Nothobranchius furzeri: one gene and its partners. The protein of the gene in region 6 binds, or shares a complex with, the protein of the main gene of each other region. Links are inferred from orthologs where the notes say so. Each region holds a gene or a part of one and is shown on either strand. Other genes may lie near its edges.

Evidence for each region.
Region 1: the proteins of med12 (region 6) and cdk8 are in contact, whole or in part, in a cryo-EM structure (PDB 8TQ2), measured with the Homo sapiens proteins. The link is inferred for Nothobranchius furzeri from reciprocal best matches to the Homo sapiens genes MED12 and CDK8. Residues at the interface, in NP_005111.2 of Homo sapiens: Pro26, Gln27, Gln31, Glu33, Asp34, Leu36, Asn40, Val41, Lys42, Gln43, Gly44, Phe45, Asn47; in NP_001251.1 of Homo sapiens: His143, Ala144, Trp146, Phe180, Asn181, Ser182, Pro183, Pro186, Ala208, Arg209, His210, Thr212, Lys213, Met273, Pro274, Pro320.
Region 2: the proteins of med12 (region 6) and mediator of RNA polymerase II transcription subunit 13-like are in contact, whole or in part, in a cryo-EM structure (PDB 8TQC), measured with the Homo sapiens proteins. The link is inferred for Nothobranchius furzeri from reciprocal best matches to the Homo sapiens genes MED12 and MED13. Residues at the interface, in NP_005111.2 of Homo sapiens: Ala3, Phe4, Arg12, Pro13, Arg16, Leu86, Thr123, Thr127, Thr150, Pro152, Val153, Met154, Arg155, Phe242, Pro278, Leu281, Arg282, Arg356, Pro357, Phe360, Gly361, Cys364, Gln367, Thr368, Cys372, Pro407, Glu408, Phe413, Val417, Lys1526; in NP_005112.2 of Homo sapiens: Ser157, Glu158, Thr336, Val337, Pro339, Gln340, Ser341, Gln343, Lys344, Trp345, Lys347, Phe348, Asp1186, Ile1189, Leu1190, Gln1193, Asp1194, Pro1332, Ile1333, Thr1335, Leu1337, Tyr1340, Asp1341, Tyr1342, Asp1343, Tyr1344, Leu1345, Val1346, Leu1347, Ser1348.
Region 3: med12 (region 6) and med24 share a complex: the UniProt entries of both Homo sapiens proteins name them as parts of the mediator complex. The link is inferred for Nothobranchius furzeri from reciprocal best matches to the Homo sapiens genes MED12 and MED24.
Region 4: med12 (region 6) and med1 share a complex: the UniProt entries of both Homo sapiens proteins name them as parts of the mediator complex. The link is inferred for Nothobranchius furzeri from reciprocal best matches to the Homo sapiens genes MED12 and MED1.
Region 5: med12 (region 6) and med19a share a complex: the UniProt entries of both Homo sapiens proteins name them as parts of the mediator complex. The link is inferred for Nothobranchius furzeri from reciprocal best matches to the Homo sapiens genes MED12 and MED19.

The regions. Positions count from the first base shown.
Region 1 is NC_091747.1:51,014,363-51,017,839, reverse strand, and holds the end of cdk8 (cyclin-dependent kinase 8), read right to left. Parts: coding exon 3,422-3,477; intron 3,354-3,421; coding exon 3,222-3,353; intron 3,134-3,221; coding exon 2,990-3,133; intron 2,503-2,989; coding exon 2,433-2,502; intron 2,313-2,432; coding exon 2,240-2,312; intron 2,148-2,239; coding exon 2,050-2,147; intron 1,954-2,049; coding exon 1,875-1,953; intron 1,212-1,874; coding exon 1,053-1,211; intron 905-1,052; coding exon 779-904; 3' UTR 560-778; downstream 1-559.
Region 2 is NC_091753.1:50,252,355-50,256,826, forward strand, and holds the start of mediator of RNA polymerase II transcription subunit 13-like, read right to left. Parts: upstream 2,839-4,472; 5' UTR 2,609-2,838; coding exon 2,543-2,608; intron 809-2,542; coding exon 574-808; intron 1-573. Other genes in the region: c18h3orf33 (protein C3orf33 homolog), read left to right, coding at 3,846-3,989, 4,266-4,325, 4,438-4,472. UniProt on the Homo sapiens protein: Component of the Mediator complex, a coactivator involved in the regulated transcription of nearly all RNA polymerase II-dependent genes.
Region 3 is NC_091756.1:31,526,286-31,530,455, forward strand, and holds the start of med24 (mediator of RNA polymerase II transcription subunit 24), read right to left. Parts: upstream 2,840-4,170; 5' UTR 2,833-2,839; coding exon 2,819-2,832; intron 2,708-2,818; coding exon 2,577-2,707; intron 2,495-2,576; coding exon 2,412-2,494; intron 2,331-2,411; coding exon 2,292-2,330; intron 2,210-2,291; coding exon 2,136-2,209; intron 2,031-2,135; coding exon 1,807-2,030; intron 1,610-1,806; coding exon 1,498-1,609; intron 1,419-1,497; coding exon 1,268-1,418; intron 1-1,267. UniProt on the Homo sapiens protein: Component of the Mediator complex, a coactivator involved in the regulated transcription of nearly all RNA polymerase II-dependent genes.
Region 4 is NC_091756.1:39,210,855-39,214,540, forward strand, and holds part of med1 (mediator of RNA polymerase II transcription subunit 1), read right to left. Parts: intron 704-3,686; coding exon 576-703; intron 368-575; coding exon 166-367; intron 69-165; coding exon 1-68. UniProt on the Homo sapiens protein: Component of the Mediator complex, a coactivator involved in the regulated transcription of nearly all RNA polymerase II-dependent genes.
Region 5 is NC_091741.1:91,561,765-91,565,097, reverse strand, and holds part of med19a (mediator of RNA polymerase II transcription subunit 19-A), read right to left. Parts: intron 2,065-3,333; coding exon 1,931-2,064; intron 1,848-1,930; coding exon 1,751-1,847; intron 1,670-1,750; coding exon 1,575-1,669; intron 1-1,574. UniProt on the Homo sapiens protein: Component of the Mediator complex, a coactivator involved in the regulated transcription of nearly all RNA polymerase II-dependent genes.
Region 6 is NC_091741.1:82,323,168-82,326,853, reverse strand, and holds part of med12 (mediator of RNA polymerase II transcription subunit 12), read right to left. Parts: coding exon 3,619-3,686; intron 3,527-3,618; coding exon 3,363-3,526; intron 3,268-3,362; coding exon 3,106-3,267; intron 3,034-3,105; coding exon 2,832-3,033; intron 2,643-2,831; coding exon 2,533-2,642; intron 2,451-2,532; coding exon 2,315-2,450; intron 678-2,314; coding exon 528-677; intron 243-527; coding exon 1-242. UniProt on the Homo sapiens protein: Component of the Mediator complex, a coactivator involved in the regulated transcription of nearly all RNA polymerase II-dependent genes.

The DNA of each region.
Region 1 (3,477 bases), on a different chromosome or scaffold from region 6:
AATGACAAAATGCACTGAAATTGGTCCAAAATTGATGTTTCCACTTTTATTGTCAGGATACTTGTTTCATGTAAAATATTTAAATGCAATACAGTACAATGCATGTTCCATCTGCCATCCTCCATACGATTAGTTGGTTTTGTCGTCATGTTGTAAGGCTTACTCACAGTACACAGCAACTCACACACTCTGCTGTGTTACGCTTGTCATGAAAACAAAATCATGACAATAGATTAAATTAGAAACTACTAAAATCCTTACTCTGTCCTTTCTGAACAAAAAAAGCCTCCATCCCACAGCTGTGAGATCAAAAATCTCCCAGCCTGCTTTGCCGCAGTTCAGTCCTCAGCGGAGGCCCCTTACACACAAAAAAACAAAACAAATAGGAGGACTGAGAATCTGTTAACGTGGGCAGTCACGTAGCAGCTTTCGTCTCATCCAAGTTTTGACGGGACGAGGGGAACTGAAGCAGAGGAAAGGAGATGGCTCGTCTGTATTTTGCCTGATTAATGGAATATTTTATTTTTATCCTCTTGATCTGCCTTTCACCCATGAGGATTTGCTTTACGCTGTACTGGGATTGTGTTGTCTGACACTGGTGGAGTTGTTTTGTCTCTCTGAACTACCAGATCACAGCAGAGTGCCTTCAGAAGGTAGGGTGTGGGGTGTTGCACCATCCCCACATCCTTCAGTACATTCGTTCAGGCGGTCACAGAAATGGCTGTGTGAGTGTGTGTTCAGATTAGAAATGTGTGTGTTTATTTGTGGGAGGGGTGTTTCAGTAGCGGTGGGACTGGTGGGAGTACTGGGGTGGTTGTTGGGAGGTAGAGGAGTATCCCATGCTGCTTTGGGGCAGTGATGTGCTTGGTCCAGGATTCTGGTAGGCAGCATGTGGATTAGAGCGCTGCATGAACAACAACAACAACAAAAAAAGCTTTGTCAGTAAAAACTTCAAATTTCTTCTGTTTTCATCAGCAATTAGTTTCTTTATTTAGCATTTAGGACACAAGCTGTTCTGTTTGTGTGTCCAGATGAGCAGCAGAAAAGCTCACCTGGTAGTCTGAGGTCATAATGAGGCCACCTGAGGTAGTGGTGGGAGGGACAACCCGCACCTTCTTTGCAGGTGGGCCCTGGGTGTGGCTATTTTCTGGGTTGCCAGTGTGCCCCGCCCCGTTTGTGTGGTTGTTTCCCTGTTGCTGCTGCTGGTTCTTCTAAAACACCCAACAACAAAACAATCTAAACAATACTGTACATGTACTACAACATTTTAGTTTCTCATTTTTGCTTTGACAGGGGTGCTCCAAGGGGTGGCCAGGGATGGGGGGCCATGGCCACACCCTGGTAAATTGGTGGCCACCCCACTGCCCCCCACCAGGGAAGACCACCCCCCCACCTTCCCTAATAAATCACAATCATGTTCACACAAATTGTACATTCATCTTTTTTTAATTAGGACATACATTTTTACACTAACAAATAAATGTATTCTACTAAAAAAAAATTATCACAGCTTATATACTACGTATCCCATTGAGGCTCACTATATTTTTTCAAAAATATGTTCAAAAAGGTTTTGTTCAAACGACAACAGGCAAATTTTAAACTTAAAATTATAAAACAGCAAAATTTAAAACAAAAGCGGAAAAAAACTATGAACCTCTTAAATGTTTGTGTTCCTCAACTCTGAGGTAAATATGACGGACGCATAGGCCTTTAGTTCTAAATGAAAGATAACAAAGAAGCAATCGACAGCCACAGGGACCAATTTGGTGCCACCCCAAATTTATACTGCCCGCCCATGAGGATTATCTACGTACACCACTGCTTTTTGATTCAAATGCATTCATAAAATAAGTTTGTAAAGTAAATTTTACTTTGTCTCCTTTGTCCTCTGGCTCCTCCTCTGTCAAGAACTCTCTCTTGGGGTAGGGAATCTGACAACCTGCAAACACACTAGAAGAATGCAAAAACACCTCATCAACCTGTTCAGGAGTCTCCTCCGGCACGTTAGCCGCGCTAAAAGCCAGAACTAAATCTGCTGCAGCTCACTCAGACGTGGGAAGAGGCTCTTCTAAAAAGTACGGGTCCTGCATTGCCTGCTCCGATGTGATTCTACGGATGGGGTCCATGGTCAATAGTTTTTGCAGCTGCAATCAATAACGTGATTTTAATGTCAAACAAAAAGCCGTACCAGATATATCAGGCAGAGAAAGACTAAATCAAAAGCGCTTCAACTCACCAAGTGGAATGCTTTACTGTCTGGTTTAACTTTATGTTTTTCCATGTACTTTATAAGGCTGCAGTTTGTGTATCTGTATAAAAACAGGAGCAAACTATGAAGTGTGTGTAATTTTTGTGTATTAAGATATACTTTGCTTTGTTTTGATCTTAAAACAAATAAAAAACAGGACACAAGTGGTCTGCAGACTCACGTGTTCCTTCTGAAATCTTTCATCAGTGTGGAGTGCTCTGGCATCTTTTTGATGTCTTCCCAGTCTTTATCTGTTAGACCAAGGCAACAAAGGGTTAGGACGAAGGATCATTTATCTTTAAAGAAATTAAAAAATTATTTTTCCACAGCAACTTACAATTAAACAACATTTCTTTCATTTTTACACCAATTAGCTTTGGTTTTGTACTTAAACTCTGCAAATTTGCCCAAAATTTCTGCAGAAACCAAAGTGATCCTTCTAACTGACTGGTGAATTAAATAAATAGAGCGGCAGAGACGAGAAAAGAAAAAAGGAAAAGTGAAGCAGATTTTGTGAACTGGAAAGTATCGGTCCAAATGTAGGCCTGCAAGCAACCATCTCTAGGTTTGTGACTTGTATAAAGTCTGTGGTTTGATGTCCGGCGTCTACAGACCACATTAATACATTCAAAAACAGAGCAAGTAAAGACCGAGAAAATAATGCGTTTCATCACATTTCCTTCCAGAACATCGTAGCTGGAAAAATCTTGTGTAACACCAACACATTAACAGTCTCACCAGCAGGGAAGCCCATAACATTAAAGATTCGGTCCAGCTGGTCGTGGTGGTATGGGTTGCTGGTCTTGATGTCCTCCTGACGACAATGGAATATGGGCTCAGACGTTAGCAGCTCTGCAAAAATACAGCCAATCGCCCAGATGTCTGGGAGAAACGCACAGCACGTGCTGACATAAGTCAAAGCCACACCAATAAAAAACACGTGCAGAGCAGAAGTGGAAAAGGGTTTCACCGATGGCTTTGGTGTAGTGCCGAGCCCCCAGCAGCAGCTCAGGTGCTCTGTACCAGAACGTGACCACGACGGGGTCGAGATCAGCTAAAGGCTTCAGTGGTGAATTGAAGAGACGAGCAAACCCCATATCCGCTACAAAACAACAACGTGTGTTAGTTTATAAAGTAAAACTTTACTTAAGAAATGAACACGATACACACCGATCTTCACTCTACCCCTTTCGGGACCTTCTCCCATCACTAAAATGTTTGCTGGT
Region 2 (4,472 bases), on a different chromosome or scaffold from region 6:
TCAAACGGAATGTTATTTTATTAGCTTTTATGCCACCATAAATTTCTGCTGTTGGAGATTTTCAGACTAGAATCACCACAAGTGAGACGTTTCTGGGTTATTTACGGCAGAAATTAGCTGCAGAACTAGCTACTATAGAACTTTTGTTTGCAATTCTTGGTTATATCCGTCAGAATAATCATGAACTCTAAAAACAATGTAAAATGCTGCATAATCTAAGATTTTTTTGGGACTTTAAAAAATCTTTGTGACTGACCTAATTTGAACTAGCTGTTAGCTCCTCTGTCAGATCAGGACTAATCTACATTGCTCCAAACTAAAGCTGCTTGTTTTCTCTTTATTTTATGCATATAAAAGAGAAAATGTAATCAAAATTACAGTTTGACCATAATTCTAAAAAAAGAACAAACTAACCAATCTTAATTTATTTCTGTGATCATACCACCCACCCCTCAAGTAAACGTCACAATATTTCCATTTGGATCAATGAACATCAAAGTTGGTGAGAGTTAAACGGGATATTGTGCGAATCTCAAACCCGGCAGAAAACATGCAAATGATGCATTCACTTACTCGAAAGCTCATTGTGGATAAGCTCTGCAAAACTGGGGTCATCCCCCCACCAGAAAAGCCAAAGCTCCCTGCGACCCGGGGTGTGGTGCCTTCTCCACACACTTAGCACATCTGCTGCCAGGCATCGGCTGAAGCTACACAAGATCGGGTCCTCCTCGGTCACCGGGAAGAGGATGGGCGAAGAGGTGGGACCTTGCCACACAAAACGTCGCCATTTTATTCCAGTCAAATCAGCCTAAAGGGAAGAAAATATAAAAAAACAAAGTGTGAATAAAAATTTAAAACACAAAGGCAAATCCATGGCTATGCGTATGTGTTTTAGAAAGCTGAAGGCTGCTTTTTCTGTCTTATAGTAAAGCACTTTACATAATAAAGATAATAACAAGAGGATGGTTGACATTGTTGCACGCGGTGTATAGTTACGGACTGGGCCAACTTGTGACTGCCTAGTTGTATTATGAATAAACTTAGCAAGGCTCACAAAGTGCTGCACAACACTGCAATGCAAGGTGGCATCACTGGAAGTGACATGAGGTTCAACTTGTCCACAAACGTGTCAACAGATGAAGAGGAAAAGGCCTGAGCTGCAGGTGTCTTTCATCTGAGACACGTCTGACCCTCAGCACTTGTATTAGCATCAATGCACGGGGGGTTTCTATCAACAAATTAAAAATGAAGCTTTATGTGGTGGATGAACCAACTTATTTGTCCCTCTTTTCCATACAATCAACATGTTAAAAAAACTTGAAAAACATTTACATTTAGATATTTAAGCTTTTGTTTTTTAGAAAATAGAATGCACAAACATACCTGATGCAAAAATTAATAACAGAGAAGAACTTCAAAAGCTGATTAATTGAAGTATTTTACACAGTAACTGATCAAACTTTCTATTTCAAGATCATTTCAGAGCAAAGCCACCTTCTAGGAAAAAAACATTCTGTGTTTTCATTCATTTTGTTCTAAAACATGTAGACAACACTGAATGTTTCACTGCAAAAAAAAAGTAAGCATAAACTTGTAAACACATTTCATTTTAAGTTGCCAAGGCAGCTGACTTCATTCCAGACTTTTCCAGAGGTTAATTTCCAGACTGCAGCTGATTCTAGAACATTTCCTGAATTTTACTGTAAATATCCACTAAATAATTGTGAAATAGGCTAGTTAATGTGCACCTGGTATTCTGACAGTTATTTTAACACGTTTCTATAAAGGTCAAATGATCCAACTAACAAACAGAATAACACTCAGCATGGAAAACTCAAGATATAACCATGGAAAACCAACAGATGTCCATCCCACTAGTAATATAGATGTTATTATATTACACGTTAATTTTACGTGCATTTCATGATTAGTCAATAAATAATATCATGATCGCTAAGGTTTGTCTTCATTTTTCATGTTAAATAACTCCATAACTTAGCTACATTGTTTTGAAAAGCTTGTATGTTCACTTCTTTAGAATCTGATTTTTACATTTTTGAGTAATAAAATAGTAGGAAACGAAAGTCTGGTAACGCAAATGCGTTCCACACACTGCTCTTATTTCCATACATGTAACGGAAAATACAAAATAAAAACAATTTTATACTTTTTCAGACTGCAAAGAAAACCCTGTTATTCTGTTTATAGATCATTTAAAAACATATCCAACACAATTTAGAACAATCGGCTGTGTTTCAAACAATTCCCAACCCGTTATAAACATGTTGCTAACACTGATTATCCCTCTTCAACTGCAGTGTAAACATGGGCCAAAAGCACAATCGCAAACACGTCATTTTTTATAAAGTAGCCAAACAACATGTGTTTTGTGTGTTATTAAAACAAGCAGGATGACAATTTGAGACTTGAAGGCCCGATGCCTTCTCGCCAATCTGAAACTGACGTTACAAAGCTTGTTGCCTTCTGAGCCAAAATGGCTTTCTGGCCTTTCAGCAACACAACTAGCGCTAGCTAGGCTTACCAGGCAGAAGATGTTGGAGTGGCAATCCTCCAAACTGGCTCCGTTTGGTACAAAGCACGAACTCATCCTTTCACTGCGCGGTGGTAACGTTCAAGTCCATTGTCTCAACCACCTTTGGGGCAATAGCTGATAGGTGTAACTCGCAAGCGAAGCGACGTTCACTTGTAATTAAGTCAGCCAACTTCTAACCGGCGCTAGCTACTAGCCTGGCGGCTAAGCTAACATTAGACAGACAGCCAGATAGCGTCAACTGTAGGCTTCTAGCTAGTCGATTCATCAATCCTATTTGAAATGTATTGTCTGATCTGGTTAGCCGCAGAGCTGCGGCCACATCACATAAATATCAAACAATTAACGTTAACCTAACCAGAACAGACTAAAGTTAAAACAAACCCCAGAAATTTGAAAGAACGAGCTCGGAAACTAAAAAAACTTCATCACAAAAGCTTGGTCCCTGGTGTGCTAATGCTAACGTCAGCTAGCTGATCTGAAACAATTTCAAAGCAGAGGAACTCTCCCCTCCCCCTGATCTCAGCTAGCCTGCCAGCTAAATAAAACAATCAGCTACACCGCCCTCATTCCTTCTAAAACCTCAACGGAGCTCCGTCATGATAAAACTGTTCGTCAAACAGAATAAATGCCAAATCTCCGACACTACTCATCGGCTAATCGTCTCTGCCTGGATCCATGGGTGTCCTGCAGATTTCCATTATTTCACTACATGGATTGAATTCTTTAATGGCGGCCAGGAGGACAACTCTGCCTCTCAGCTCCCATTGGCCAATTTGTGTTGATGGGGGCGTTATCCGGCTTCAAGAAGCTCCATGACTTCACAGTTTACAAGATGAGAGCCTCAGTGCATCTGTCATACAGTGGTAACTCTTTACTTAACATGTCTCACTCTGCTGCCAGTGCTAGACGTTACCATTTTTATATAATATGTCAAGTTTATAAGGCGGCAATTTAGCTTTTGCACTTTTAAAACAAAGATATCAGCACTCTAATGTGTAATTGGGGATTAATGTGCAGATGTTAAATAATCTGTGGGCAATCTGAGTGGTTGCTGCTAGCACTAGCATCCTTAGCAAGTTAGCTAACTAGCCGAGCTTTTAACGTTCACAAACCTTTACGTTTTAAACCAAAGTCGACTGCACATGATGTTCTTTGGTTTTTTTTTTTTATGTAAACTTGATGCTGCTTTCGCTTCTACGTTGAGGGGCGGAGCTTCTGCTTACAGTCCCGTTTTAAACGTCCCTCCCCCAAAAAGGCGGAGCGTCAGACTAGTCGAGAAAATGTCAACAACATGCCGGAGCCCACCCGAGAAACAGAAACAGAGGAGGTTGTGAGTGACAGGCGACGGAGACGGGAAGAAAACCAGAACCAGCCGTCACGTAACGTCGTGTCCGTAGTTTCTCAATTCGCAGACGAGAATTTGTCGCTCGTGCGGGTAGGAGCCTCTTTTGTCTAGGATCGATGACGTATGTGGTCTCACGAGCTGAAACCTGCACATGTGGGGACATGTCTTTTAAGCTGCTCTTTTGCAACACACGATGTCTGGTGAATCACCACACCGGCCAGATATCCCATCGCCAGCTGTCAACAGTAGCCTTTAGTGCGCTTGTGTTACTGTCATTGCTGGGTGGAAGCACATCCACAGCTGAGTGTAAGATTTCACTCTCACCCTGTCACCTTCCTCTCCCTCTCTATCTCCTGTCTCACACAGAACATTAGCACTGGACTGGCTCTCGCTGGTGTGATAGTGATCGCGAGGAGCATCAAACTGGTAGGGAAGAAAAGCCCAAGTGATACTCAAACACACTCCGTTAACTGATGACATAAAAATAAACATGACAAATCCAAATCTAAAAGACCTTTTTATCTTTTGGTCTCTGCAGATCACAAAATTCCAAGCTGCTTGTGATATTCCCGC
Region 3 (4,170 bases), on a different chromosome or scaffold from region 6:
GGATTTTCTATTCTATTCATCTATCTGCAGCCTTTCCACTTCCTGTTTACTGTAGGTTAAATCTTTTCTCACGGGCCGACAACAAAATAAAAATATCATTTTATCTTAAATGAAAATGCAACATCTCACCTGTTAACTTTCATGTTTTGGAGCAGAAAAAGAGCATAAAACCAACATATTTAAAGCTCAGTTTGTTCCACTGGTTTACTGTGATGCTCACCTGTTCCAGCCAGATCCCTGCATCATGGGGTTGATCTGAGCTGAGGAGGAGACTCCTGTTGTTTTGTTCATCTTCATCATAATAATGACAACATTATATGACAACAGGTGCTCACATAGGTTTGTGCTGCTGAACATGTCTGAGCAGCTTGACCACGTCGTTGTGTGTTGGGGAGGAAAAATAAAAACGACAGCAGCCACAGAGTCATGCTGATTTGAGCTCGTCGCTGCTCGCTGGAGTAAAATCAGCTCTGTCTGAAAGTTAGTTGGAAATCTTTCTCTTATAGTCGTTCACACATTACAGAGCGGTTAAAATCTCCGTTTCTGGGCTTCAACGTCAGAAAACAGCTGAGTGAACTTGGCGCTGAGTGAGAGGAGCGTTTAGTTTGTCCGAGACAGCGGAGCTGCAGACACCGGCAGTAGATGCTGGAAAAAACACAAAGGAGGGGGCGCTTTGGCTCCGCGCTAACGCCGCAAACCATCATGGGAGTTGTAGTCTTTACAGTAAAATCGGCCAGCGGGTCAGTTTTAATATATTTTTGATATTTATCTCGCGGGCCACATAGAAATGCTCCGCAGGCCAGCCTTGTGTCTGACACATGTGTTTTAACACCTTAATCTAACAGCTGAAATGTCTCCTCAGCCTTCCTTATACAGGAGTGATTCATCACTAAATTAAACAAATTAGCTGTGTTCGTGATCTAAAACATGAAGGAAACGTGCTAGAAGCAGACTACTGCGTCAGGTAAATCAGCTTAACTTAGAGTGGCCCGCCAGTCTGAAGTTGCAAGTGGAATATTCTGGCCACGGTGGTGAGAGGGGCTGGGTGGCCTTTCATTAACCCTGCAAAGGGTCATTTTGGCACATAATAGCTTGAGAAAATGATTTAAAATTATGAAAAAAGTTGCATAGTATCCCTTTAAATGCAAATGAAATGAAAACACATTCTTACTTAAAATTGTTCCAACTAAAAACATTACAAGGTTCATCTTTCTACAAAAAATAAAAAAGGTGCAATGTGATTGTTTCCCCCCACTTTAATGTTTACCTGCATTCTTTTGATCATCATTAGCTGCTCCACCATGGGCTGGATCTCCCCCGTTAGATTCATGGTCCCCTCCAGCATGATGAAAGCATGAACTGATGGGAAAGAGGCACGGACTGGCGGGTCACTTTGTACCGAGAGCATCAGCGGGATGCTGAGGGAGAAGAGCAGAGATGCAGCATAAACAAGCTGGATTGTGATGGCCCTTCTAAGTCGGGCAGAGGAAGGCTGACCTTTTAACTAGAGACAAGCTTTCCTCTAGTTTAGCTCTGAGTGTTTGGTTTGGCACGTTAACAAGGCCGTCAGACACCTTGAGCACTGCTTGTTCAGCGTTACCCCAGGAACCTGAGGACATAGACACAGACACTTTAAAGGTGCATGAAGTAAGCGCAACATCCTGTGGTCTGCCATTTGCTTCAAAACAAATATGTTCCGAGAGAGATTTGAGGATTTTAAACACCATTGTATCCACAAGGAACACCTTTCAGCTTCTCAAAACAATATTTTTAAATAAATGGTTTGAAAAAGCTATTTTCAGGCACCTTGGTCCTCCAGTCGGGCAATGTGGACCAGAGCTCTGATCTTAGTGCTGCTCATCAGGTGGTGGAGCCTCTCCTGGCAGGCTTTGAGAGCGGCCTCGATGCTGGGAGACGGGCCCAGCTCTCTTAACTTCTCGCAGTAAAACGCACAGCCCTGCAGCAGCCACACGAGCACCCCCAGCAGGGCCCGGCACAGCCCGATGCAGTCCTCTGCTTTTCCGTGACAGCTGAGACACACACAGACAAGAAATTGTTTTAGTTTATACATTTTTTTAGTGGTAGAATGATGACCCATTGACACAATCTGTTGAGTTAGAAAAGATTGAACATACTTGAGACGATGGCAGAACATGTCCATTATCTCCAACAATGACATGACACACAGCTCCCGAGAAAAGCCATCAAACTGTTTAAATGGAGATATTTATGTTAAAGTTGTAGTTCTTCAAGTGATTACTACACCATTGTGTTTATATTCCAAAAAGTACCTTGCTGATGGCTGTTAGTACGCTGGAATAGGACACCATCTGAGACAGGGAGAATGAGGTGCACCATTAGATAATCTGTTCAGCTGCATGTTTGATCATAACCATGGTTCTTCTCTCTACCTGTGAGCTTATAGCATATCTAAGGTAAGACAGAATCAGCGGGTTGGGAGAGGGACCGATCATCGCCTGCTCCATCAGTGCCTCTAAAATACACAGAAAACATTTCAAATCATAGAGGAAGTGTTTATTAAATTAACAGATTATCAACAAATAGGCGTCACAAACCAGCAAAATTAAGGTAGTCCCATGTTTGGCCCTTTGGGAAGTTTTTTTTAATGTTGATGGCCCACTGGTGATCACTCCATCGTTCCTTCCACGCCTGCAAAATGGCTTGTTTCAAATTCACCACCTTCATCCTAGCAAGAGTGAACACACACACATTTGTCATGCACAAAACTCCAAATCCCCAATTTCAGCTAAGGTTTTAGGTATTTTATGGGAAAAAAAATTCAAGTCGTTTCAAGCACCTAAGGAAAACCATGGAAATCTGGTCCTAGGGCATGAGAGACAGGTCGTCTCTGCACAAACTGCTCCCCACCACAGACAACCCATCTCTCTTCAGGACGCCTCACTGCGGTCCTCACTGTTTGTCTGCTCCAACACTTCCAATTCAAAGCTTGAATTACATGATCAGCATGTCAACAAGCTCTGCAGAAGTACCTCACTGATTAAAACCACGCAGTGATTGCTATTGGATTAGAAACCACTGCCCTACAGAGACTAATCGGCTGCTCATTTGGCCATCTCTGCCATAGTAAATATGGCTTCAAGACAACATGCATACCATCGCTGTGCAACAGATGTTTTTATTGTAGATTAATTTTCCACAAACGCATATCTGTTTATAACTACAAATATACAACCATGAAACATGTTACTCTAGTATAGTAAAGCACCAATAGTTTATATTACTTCTGCCTATTCTTATACTTTTGTACTTCCCTGTCTGCTACTCTATCTATCTATCTATCTATCTATCTATCTATCTATCTATCTATCTTGTTAAGTATCTTATTAACAAAGAACATTTTTCTGTAAACGGATAGTACATTATTAGTTATAAAGCAGCCAGGTAAGGTTAAAGAGAAGCTAAAGCCTGAATAAGTCCACTAGTATGAAAAAACGACATCGAAACGTGGCTCATTGCAAGCAAAATAAAAGCAAACGAGGAAGTCTCGCCGCATTTCACTGATATATTCCATACTAATAATAGAATACTAATAGTTTGAACCATTCGTTCAATGTCGCTGAAGCGTGTTTATTAGCATGTTAGCCGTTAGATAGCGACGCGATCCATCAGCTGTTTGAAACAAACAAAAAAACTCAACAGCTATTAAACACACCTATGTCACCGTCAATGGGAACATTTCTAGTCGCACTGATTTTTTCCCAATGTAAGAATTACCTGACTTTTCCACAGCATGCAGGGCTGTAGGTTTGAAAACCAGACTCTCACAACGTAAGCGATGGAATCGTTGTTGCAACTACGTAAGCGCTCATTGGTCAATATTTCAAACGTAGGAGTATTCTCTCTGGTGATTGGTTGGAGCTAGTGCTCAAAAATTGCGTCGCAAGCATGAGATAATGTTGAACACTACATGTCGCTGTTTACCAGATGAGCAAAATTTATTTCTACCAGCGAGTCAGAGAAAGTCATTTAAACTGATTAAAAAGGGGTTTTGTTCTTATTAAATTCAATTAAAATATTAATAGGTAATATAAAATAAATATATTTAGATACTGATGTTTACCAGCATAAATTTGTAGTTTTGAATCAAAAACATGTCAGAAATAAAACTATGAGTTATTAGTTCAAAGC
Region 4 (3,686 bases), on a different chromosome or scaffold from region 6:
CTGGAAGGAGACACTGAAACTTGAGTCGGTGAGAGGACAAACCTCGAACTGAAGAAGGCCTGCACTGTCTGAGGAGGAAGCAACAACAGTGTTTAATGCAGTTAAACTACACAGACAGAGAAACCACAAGTTTCTGGTGTAGTAGTGTGGACATGACACTTTTACCCTCTTTGGCAGAGGTTCGTTTGACGCAGCTGCCAATCAGAGTGTTATATGCTGCCTGGTGGCGAATGATGTCCAGCAGGAATGGCACTTGAGCTGGATGACGAAAAGGGATCTTGGACACCATTGCTCCTTGTAATGAATGTCCATCCTGAACTGGGGCATCGCCATTCAGGAAGTAACAGTGATGCTGATCTGGCAAGATCTGTAAAATGATTATATGTAGAAGTTATTTTAAACACAATTTTTACACGTTTTGAGCTATTTTGTAAGCATGAAATGCAAACAAAGAGCAGATCTGACAGATCATTCTTATATATTTAAATTATATATATATATATATACACACATACATATAATTATTTAGGAGCTTAAAAATATAAATGTATTGGAATGTGTTGGTATCAGCTCACAGAATAAAAGTGCATGTTATTCAGTGTTGCTGGCACAGAGCTGCTCTCGTCCAGCAGCTGCAGCTGACTCTGGACGATCAGCTGGTAGAGCGGTGAGAGGCTGGGTGACGTCTCAAATACTGGGATTGCTGGGGGGGGGGGGGGGGGGGGGGGTAGAAGAGGTGTAAGAAACACATACAAGGTAAGGATAATCCTTTCATTGCAAATACAGTGTATATACAGGTCCTTCTCAAAAAATTTGCATATTAGCATTATTGTCTGTAATGTACTGATAAACATTAGACTTTCATATATATTAGATTCATTACACACAACTGAAGTAGATCAAGCCTTTTATTGTTTCTAATATTGATGATTTTGACATACAGCTCATGAAAACCCAAAATTCCTATCTCAAAAAAATTTGAATATTTCATCCGACCAATAAAAGAAAAATGTTTTTAATATCAAAAAAGTCAACCTTCTAATAATTATGTTCAGTTATGCACGCAATTCTTGGACGGGAATCCTTTAGAAGAAATGACTGCTTCAATGCGGCGTGGCATGGAGGCCATCAGCCTGTGGCACTGCTGAGGTGTTATGGAGGCCCAGGATGCTTCGATAGCGGCCTTAAGCTCATCCAGAGTGTTGGGACTTGCGTCTCTCAACTTTCTCTTCACAACATCCCACAGATTCTCTGTGGGGTTCAGGTCAGGAGAGTTGGCAGGCCAATTGAGCACAGTAATACCATGGTCAGTAAACCATTTACCAGTGGTTTTGGCACTGTGAGCAGGTGCCAGGTCGTGCTGAAAAATTAAATCTTCATCTCCATAAAGCTTTTCAGCAGATGGAAGCATGAAGTGCTCCAAAATCTCCTGATAGCTAGCTGCATTGACCCTGCCCTTGATAAAACACAGTGGACCAACACCAGCAGCTGACATGGCACTCCAGACCATCACTGACTGTGGGTACTTGACACTGGACTTCAGGCATTTTGGCATTTCCCTCTGCCCAGTCTTCCTCCAGACTCTGGCACCTTGATTTCCGAATGACAAGCAAAATTTGCTTTAATCCGAAAAAAATACTTTGGACCACTGAGCAACAGTCCAGTGCTGCTTCTCTGTAGCCCAGGTCAGGCGCTTCTGCTGCTGTTTCTGGTTCAAAAATGGCTTGACCTGGGGAATGCGGCACCTGTAGCCCATTTCCTGCACACGCCTGTACACAGTGGCTCTGGATGTTTCTACTCCGGACTCAGTCCACTGCTTGTGCAGGTTCCCCAAGGACTGAAATCGGTCCTTCTCCACAATCTTCCTCAGGGTCTGGTCACCTCTTCTTGTTGTGCAGCGTTTTCTGCCACACCTTTTCCTTCCCACTGAGGTGCCTTGATACAGCACTCTGGGAACAGCCTATTCGTTCAGAATTTTCTTTCTGTGTCTTATCCTCTTGCTTGAGGGTGTCAATGATGGCCTTCTGGACAGCAGTCAGGTCGGCAGTCTTACCCATGATTGCGGTTTTGAGTAATGAACCAGGCTGGGAGTTTTTAAAAGCCTCAGGAATCTTTTGCAGGTGTTTAGACAGGGTTTTTCCTGCGTTCAAATTGGCGTGGCGGCCGCCTCCAGCTAATTTTGTGCCGCTCCAGCCTGATTTCACTCTGCCCCCAGCTATATGGATGTTATTTTAACTGCAGTTGCAGCGTTGCGCCACTACAGGGGCGCTGTATCAGCAGCGGTGCACCAAAAAGCGCTAAAGCCGCTCCAGAAAAAGATCAAAAATTGCTTTTCTCGCTTCTTGGTACATATCTATGGTTGGTGCTACTGACATCCCGATTTCCCCCAGGCTCTTCCATATCAGAGCAGGGCTGTACAGTGCGACGAAATAAACTGTCTGTGCGTGTTTGTCTATTTTAAATGAGCATAATTTAAACTGGATTATTGCCAACCCGTACATAATAGACATGCCACCATTACATTGTTAGCAGAAATTAAATGTTATTACCATTTCCAATACAAATGCATGTTAATGAAATGCATTATATTTTACTGGATATATTTGTGTTATTTTGACTATAATGACTGTTATTAATACAAACCTAAAATGTTACTGAAATGTAGGTCAAATATTTAAAAATATTTTTGACTATAAATATCAGATGGGAAAAAGGGAACTACACCAACCTAATACATATTATTGAACCTTTTATAATGAGTCTGTTATTTCAGCCTGATAATTTTGTTGTTTTATTTCATATTTTTTTTTGCAGCAAACCAGTTTTGTTTCACTTGAAACGTCAAATAGAATATTCAATTCATCAACAGAAGCTTAGATTAGAACACTTAACAAAAAATATTTGGCCTTTAAAAAAAGTGAAGCAGTTGAATGCACAGAGTATGCATGTGCTGGCGCATGGTCAGGATGGTACCACTTCTGCCTCAATTTGAGCCAGGAAAAACCCTGTTAGAGTTAATTAGTTGATTCAGATGATTAGGTTAATAGCTCGTTTAGAGAACCTTTTCATGATTTGCTAATTTTTTGGGATAGGAATTTTGGGTTTTCATGAGCTGTATGCCAAAATCATCAATATTAGAAACAATAAAAGGCTTGAACTACTTCAGTTGTGTGTAATGAATCTAATATATATGAAAGTCTAATGTTTGTTTATTTATTTGTAATGTTTATCAATACATTACAGAAAATAATGAACTTCATCACAATATGCTAATTTTTTGAGAAGGACCTGTACACTCACCAAGCACTTTATTGGGTACACCTGTCCAACTGCTCGTTAACGCAAATGACTAATCAGCCAATCACATGGTGGCAACTCAATGCATTTAGGCATGTAGACAAGGTAAAGACGATCCGCTGCAGTTCAAACCGAGCTTCAGAATGGGGAAAAAAGGTGATTTAAGTGACTTTGAACGTGGCATGGTTGTTGGTGCAGACAGGCTGGTCTGAGTATTTCAGAAACTGCTGATCTTCTGGGATTGTCACACATGACCATCTGTAGGGTTTACAGAGAATAGTCCGAAAAAGGGAAAACATCGAGTGAGCGGCAGTTCTGTGGGTAACAATGCCTTGTTGAGGCCAGAGGAGAATGACCAGACTGGTTGGGGCTGATAGAAAGGCGACGGT
Region 5 (3,333 bases), about 9.2 Mb from region 6:
CTTCTGAAGACTGAAGAAAATCACCATTAAAGTTCACTGCAGTTAGTTAAAGCAGTAGAAAGCCAAACTGGAGTGACCGTTTCCCATGACACCATACAACGCACACTGCAGAGGAATGGCATACATGGGTATTGTCTACGAAGGAAGCCTCTCCTAAAGCTCATGCACAAAAAGCACACCTAGGATTTGCTAGGGCCCGTGCTGAAAGAGATGAAGACTACTGGCACTCTGTACTCTGGAGTGATGAGACAAAGATCACAGTTTGTGGAAGTAATGGTTTCAAAACTATGGCGTTGTAAAGGTGAGGATTTCAAAGAGAAATGCATGGTGCCTACAGTGAAACGTGGTGGTGGTGGCAGTGTCCTTATGTGGGGCTGCATGAGTGCTGCTGGTGTTGGGGAGCTGCATTTCATTGATGGCATCATGAACTCAACGATGTCCTGTTCTATACTGAAGGAGAAGATGCAGCCATCACTCCATGCACTTGATCATTGGAGGGGATAATGCAAAGAAGGATTCTCCAGAGAATCAAGAAAATGATGGACAACCCTGAGCATTCTCTTCACAAGACTGTCCGACAACGGAAGAGTGTCTTCAGTCAGAGGCTTCTTCAGTTTGGCTGCAACACTGACCGCTACTGGAGATCCTTCCTGCCAACAGCCATTGTAATATACAATAACTCTTTGATGACTTGATTATTATTATTATTCTGAGCTACTACAGCAATCAATTTCCCTCTGGTATTAATAAAGTATCTTTGAATTGAATTGAATTTGAATCATTGTGCACGTTTCCACCACGACAATGATCCAAAACGCATCTAAAGCTACTGTTGCATTTCTGAAGAAGAACAGGGTGAAGGTGATTGAATGGCCAAGTATGTCTCCTGATCTGAACACCTGTGGGGAATTCTGAAGGTTGAGCATCACTCTCCATCCAGCATCCAGATTATAAAACACGTTATTCTTGAAGAATGGAAAAAGATAGATGTTAATGTTTATGTTTATTTATTTAGCAGACGCTTTTATCCAAAGCGACTTACAATTTATAACCTATAGGGCATGTTGTGATCTGTGGGGGAAACCGGAGTACCCGGAGGAAACCCGAGCATGCATGGGGAGAACACGCAACTCCACGCAGAAATAGCGACAGTGCAACAACTGTGCCACCATGCAGCCCGATGTTGCAATATGTCACCATCTTGTTCATGCCATGCCTAGAAGACTTGATGTAGTAGTTTTTGTTGAGGGGTGTATTCCTTTTTGCTAAAACCAATTTTAGCAAAACTGAAGATTTTGTGATCCAAGTCATATTAATAGCCTTAATTTCATGTTATGGAGTTAAGCAAGTGTTTAATAAAACCCAGCCTTGTTAAAATTCTGGAAAATTTTTTTAGTTCATTGAGCTACTGATTAAATTTGTACTCTTCAAAGGGGGTGTACTCATTAATACTGAGAACTGGATGAAAAAACAAAACTGCTGTGCGACTTATGTCACAATGCTATTCCGAGTCAACATTTTAAATCTTTTTAATGCCCAGCTAGAAACTTAATTAGTGTTTAAAATTTTCTCACCTTCTTTTTTTTCTTGTCTTTCTTCTTTTTCTTGCGGTCAGGATCATCGTCCCTCTTTTTCTTCTTTTTCTTGGGATCAGAGTCTGACGGAGTTTCTAAAATCAGAACAGACGTGTCAGTGTGGTGAAAAACACGTAGCACTTGTTTCAGCTGACCTCACTAACACGCCACCAGACCTTGTGGGAGGGGGTCCTGTGGTCGATTGTGCTTGTGTTTGTGTTTGCTCTTCTTCTTTGGGGGCTGTATGTGCATCAGTCTGTACTGTTCTGGAAGCTGGAAAAAAAAAAAAACACTACATGTTACATAACGGGGATAAGATGATCATTTATTATCAGGCATAATCAGTGTTGTGGTACCGGTCCTGTATGTAGTCTGAATCCTGTGAGCAGAGCACCAGTCAGCGGGCTGAACGAGTTCCCACAAACGGGAGGCTTATCTATCAGAGAGCGCAGAGAGCTGCCGTCCTGAGTGCCCGGACAGTCGATCATACCTGCAACAAAAGAGACACTATAAAAGTGGAAATAAAGAGCGTGGCTGAAAGGGATCCGTGTAATTTACAGGCCATAGTGAGGAGTCCAGGTGAGATTAAAGAGGCTAAAAAAAAACAACAAATCAGAAACAATGAAAGTTAAACTTTTGGTTTTAGAGATACAGCCTCAGCCCTCAAAGTCTAATTCATTAGAGCGCCCAGAAGTCCCAGCACCTGTCAGAATGCAGGTTTAGATTAACTATAGCTTAAGCCACTGGAGTCAAACCCTGGCCCTCGAGAACTGACCTGCCAGTGCATATGTTGCCAATACTACAGATCCCAGAATGCTTTGCTGCATTATCAGCAGCATCCATGCTACCAGTCTCGAGGAGGGTACGGCTGCGGACCTGGAGACCACAGATTCGGTCTCAGACAAACAAAAAAATGACTGCTTAGTTAGCACCCAGCAATTTGCCAACTTTGAAGCCCAAATATCAAGATTTCAACAGCTCAGTAATCTATTTGTGGCCGACGTGAAAAGCGCAGAAAGCAACCTCCAAATGGAGCCAAATGAGCTCCGGTGTAGTAAAACGCTCAAATTTGACTCTGTGGCTTCTGCTCAGTTTCCATCTGATGTGTTTTATTTCAAAGTTAACTGCCCGTGTGTTGTTAATTTTAAACTTTGGTTATTCCAGAGTAACTATTAATGCAAGACTATGGTTTGTTTCCATATAAAACATTCAACAACACAAATCAGAAGATAAAGAAAATTTTAAGCATTTGCATCCATAAACATTTTCCCATGACTTTGTTCTAGTTTCTCCAGTTTGGCCCAGAGTGAATTTCAGTTTGACACCCCTGGCTTAAACGATGACAAATACAGGTAGAAAATCCTGAAAAAGTATAGTATTTTGTCACTTGTTTAAAAAAATTCATCTGACCTATTATGTAAATTAGGGATGCACGGATAACTTTTTTACCACAAGGAAGGGAAACCATAGAAAGTCATTGCTAAAGAAGCATGTCAGTTCCACTTTACTAAGTCCATCAGGGACCGGACAAGTTGCAAGTGTGATATTCTGGCCACAGGGGGCGGTGGGGGTCTGAGTGACATTTTTTTCACCCTAAGGGTCATTTTAGTACATACTGGCTAAAGAAAACGATGTAAAAATATGAAAAAGTTGCAGAGTAAGCCTCAAGTCCAGGTGTGGTGTTGATATCTAATGATTTGGGCTCCATGTCCTCTCCTGGTGTTGGTCCATTGTGTTTTCTGAAGTCCACAGTAAACTC
Region 6 (3,686 bases):
GGGACAGGCGTCAAGGGTTCCTCTTCCTCAGGGGGCAGAGGGAGAGGCTCCAGGTAATAGCTGCGAGGTTTGGGCTTCAGGTGGGTGTGGTAGAGCAGGAAACGCTGCTGCTCCTCAAATTTAGTGATCTTCCGGTCCACACGTACAGTTCCAAACCAGCCCCAGGAGAGAGGGGCTGAGTGTTTCAGACCCTCAAACACATCCCAAGGAGAAATCTTCTGTTTGGTTGATACTTGAAGGCCCTGATGAACCAAATTACACATTTTAATCAATAACAAAAGCCTAAAAGACCTGAAATATTGAACATTAGAAAATTTAAATGACCAGTGTTTCAAAAACAAATGAAGCTGTAGAAGCAGTGATGATTAGCCTAACAGTTGCTTTTGATCATTATGACAAAAACAATGTCTTTGCACTGTCCTCTATTTGTCTCAGAACCACCAAATCTCCAAGTTCTAGCATTCATAAGAACCTAACCCAAAGCCATTGTCGATCGTCATGTTGAACGAGGAGTAAAGTGTGTCTACCTCCTTCTCAAAGCCGGCGATCTTGTTGCCCTTTGTGTCTATTAGTGAGCCTTGGGGTTCACAGGTGATGACATCACGGGTTTGTTTCGGTAGCGGCAGAAGCTGGCGAACCTTCTCCAAACTTTCTGACTGTCGATCTCCAAGCTCCTTCTGTACGAGTAAGAACAAACGGAGCAACAATTACAAAATCGTACAACCTCAAATGTCAAAGATTTTACCTTAGTCAGAACCACTTTTAACCCTTCGAGCTGGAGCGTCCCCTAATTCTGGGACAAACAGGTGAAGCAGCAAAAGGCCTAGAGCCCAAAGTCATTAGATCATCAGCAGCCATATTGTTTGGCTATTTTACTGTCTGGAAACATATTCTTGAATAGTCCGAATTACCACGCATTCTAATATTACGCAGTAAAACTCAAAAGTTGCTCTTGCTTTCCTTATATAATATATGCTCATACAAGCTGACAGCTTAACAGCTTAATTGCACTGAATTATTTAGATACTTAATAAAAATTAATAAAAAAAATGTTAATGTCTTTAATAGTAATGATTTATTTTGTATATTGCCGATTGAACGCTGCAGAGTGGTTGGAGAAACGGGTTTCAACTCACTCACTCACTTACACACACAAACACACACACACAGGGTACGAAATTAAATTTTTTACTCACCGGCCAAGCGGCATATTTTTTACCGACCAAAATTCTAAATGATTTAGATCTACCTAAAGCATGTTACTCTATATTATGTTGATTCCAGACAGAGTGACAAAATAATTAAAACATCAATTAATAAGAAAAACAACTCTTTTGTCATTTTTACTATTTATTTATTTTTAGAGATGTTTTTATGAACTCTTTCATTGAAATCTAGTCAGACTCCTTGTTTTCTCTGTCCATGAAGTCTGGCCTCCTGCTTCTGACACCGTCTTTGTGCCAAAGCATTACAGCCTCATTTGGGTCCTAGTCCTTGATCTCTGGAGAACACAGCTGCACCATGAGAATATCTGAAAGTGTGTCAGGGCTAGGGTTGTCACGGTAACGGGTGTAGCAGTAAACCCCGGTAAAAAAGTTGACAATAATAATAACCGTCTTGTTTTAAAAAAAAAAAAATCTCGGTGGATTACCGTGGCTGTGGTGTAGGCGCGGTGACCCTTACCAGCCACCGTATCATCTGCTGAAGTAGCCGGCGGCACATGCGCACTTTGTTGTTTACAACCAAAACTTTCTTGAAGCTAAAGCTGAAATAATGGCCAAAGGAGATGGCAGCACTTGGGACATTTATTATCCTTCAAAGAAGAAAAAGTCAGAAGTACGGGCATTTCTTGGATATTTGAAGAATGCCGAGGGACACACACTTGACCTTTTTAAACCCCAGGACAGCAGCAAGTGGGAACTGGAGGATGGAGAGAGGCAGCGGGCAGGACACAGGATGAAGACGGGGGGAGGGTTACGCTATAGGTTAGGCAGAATTGTTTTTTTCTGCTTTTCTACAATGACTGGCCTAAACTTCTTCACCATGTGCTGAGTCGTGTACCACACATGCTTTTTTGCTACAGAACTCACGTGTCCACAGCTTTTTGCGTAGTTTAGAGGGGTGAGTCATACCAAGGTAATTAGATGCCAAACTGCATAACTGCCAAGCAAAGTGTGTACAGGTTGGCAGGTCTGAAACTAGAATAAAAGCCCCTTGATTATTGCCGTAGCTCAACTACACACTTGCACACTCTTTCAGCCCCCCCCCCCCCCCCACACACACACACACACACACACACACACACAGGTCCTACCCTGAGCTTCTTCACCAGGTTCATGTAAGCTCTCTTGTTCTCCTCCATGCTGCCCTGGGAGATGCTGGACATGTCAGCAGCCAGCGTGCCATTTATTAGCACACTTAACATGTCCAACACCGTTGTGAACAGCTCACTGCAGAAAAGAGACGGAGATGAGCACCAGACAGGCACATTACTGACAGTGACTTTGGAAACTCCCTGTAGGCAACACTCACTTGTTGGACTGCATATCCACCGTGCCGCTGCTGATGATGTCGAGGAGAAGAACTGCCCATTCAGTGGTCTGCTGGGTGCTCCGCTGCACCGTATCAAACATGCCTCCAACCTTAGCAAGAAAACAAAAACGCTTCATGAAATCTTTTATTCTAAGAACTCAAATCCAGACCAAAGTCGGTTCTGTGTGATAAGGTGCACATGAAACTAGAAACTTGTGCAATTATTTTGAATCAGAATAAACAAAATCTTGTTAAGATGTTGTGTTATACAGCTATCTATGCTTTTGAAAGACGCTCACAAGATTCAGACGTAGTTTCAGAGCCTCGTGCATCATTTGCTTGGCCTTGCAGTCATCCTGGTACTGATCTTCTCTCCAGTTTGTGACAATCTGCTGCACTTGACTGTAGAGGGAGGTAAGAAGGCCTTCCCTCTGTTCATCCTGGCCCTTCAAGCAGGTCAGCACCAAAGACAGGAACGGCTGCTGGCTCAGCAGAGACATACTGCGGGAGCAGAAACACACGATTGTTCCAAAACTACCAAGATTCCAGGGAAAAGACTCAGCTGCCACGTACCTTTTCTGTTTCTGCCTGTCCCTCTCTTTGCGAGAGGAGGAGCCGAGGTGCTGTCCCTTTTCCAGTTCCTCTCCGGCTGCTTTCAGGACATGGCCCTGGACCGATGTGGGCAGCTTGGCTATCAATGGGGCCACCAGCCAGACGCCTGATCGCTCTGAGGAGCTGGATATCAGTGAAAACAAAGATCTTAGCTTCATTCAACCCAAAATGTAGATTAAAGACAGATCCCATTATCAGTGCAGAGTTGAAATCCGCACCTTAAAATAGGTTTCATCTTGCTCGTGGTGCTGTTGCTATTGGATGCAGAGCCAGCCTGGGCTGCCGCTCCATTTCCTGAGGGGTTACTGGAGTTCATCTCAGCTGATTTCTGGAAAACCTCTATAGTGGCTTTAGCTATGTTCTCCAGGAGAGAGTAGAGCTCCTAAATATAAAATAAACACATTTATGTCGCCAGTAACAACTATAAATTCACCATTTTCTGTTACTGGGACAACAGGAAGGAGTTAGACTCACATTGTTTGTGCTCTGTTTGATCATCAGCTGCAGCTCCAGAGACGACTGCCTCATCGTCCACTGGTCCA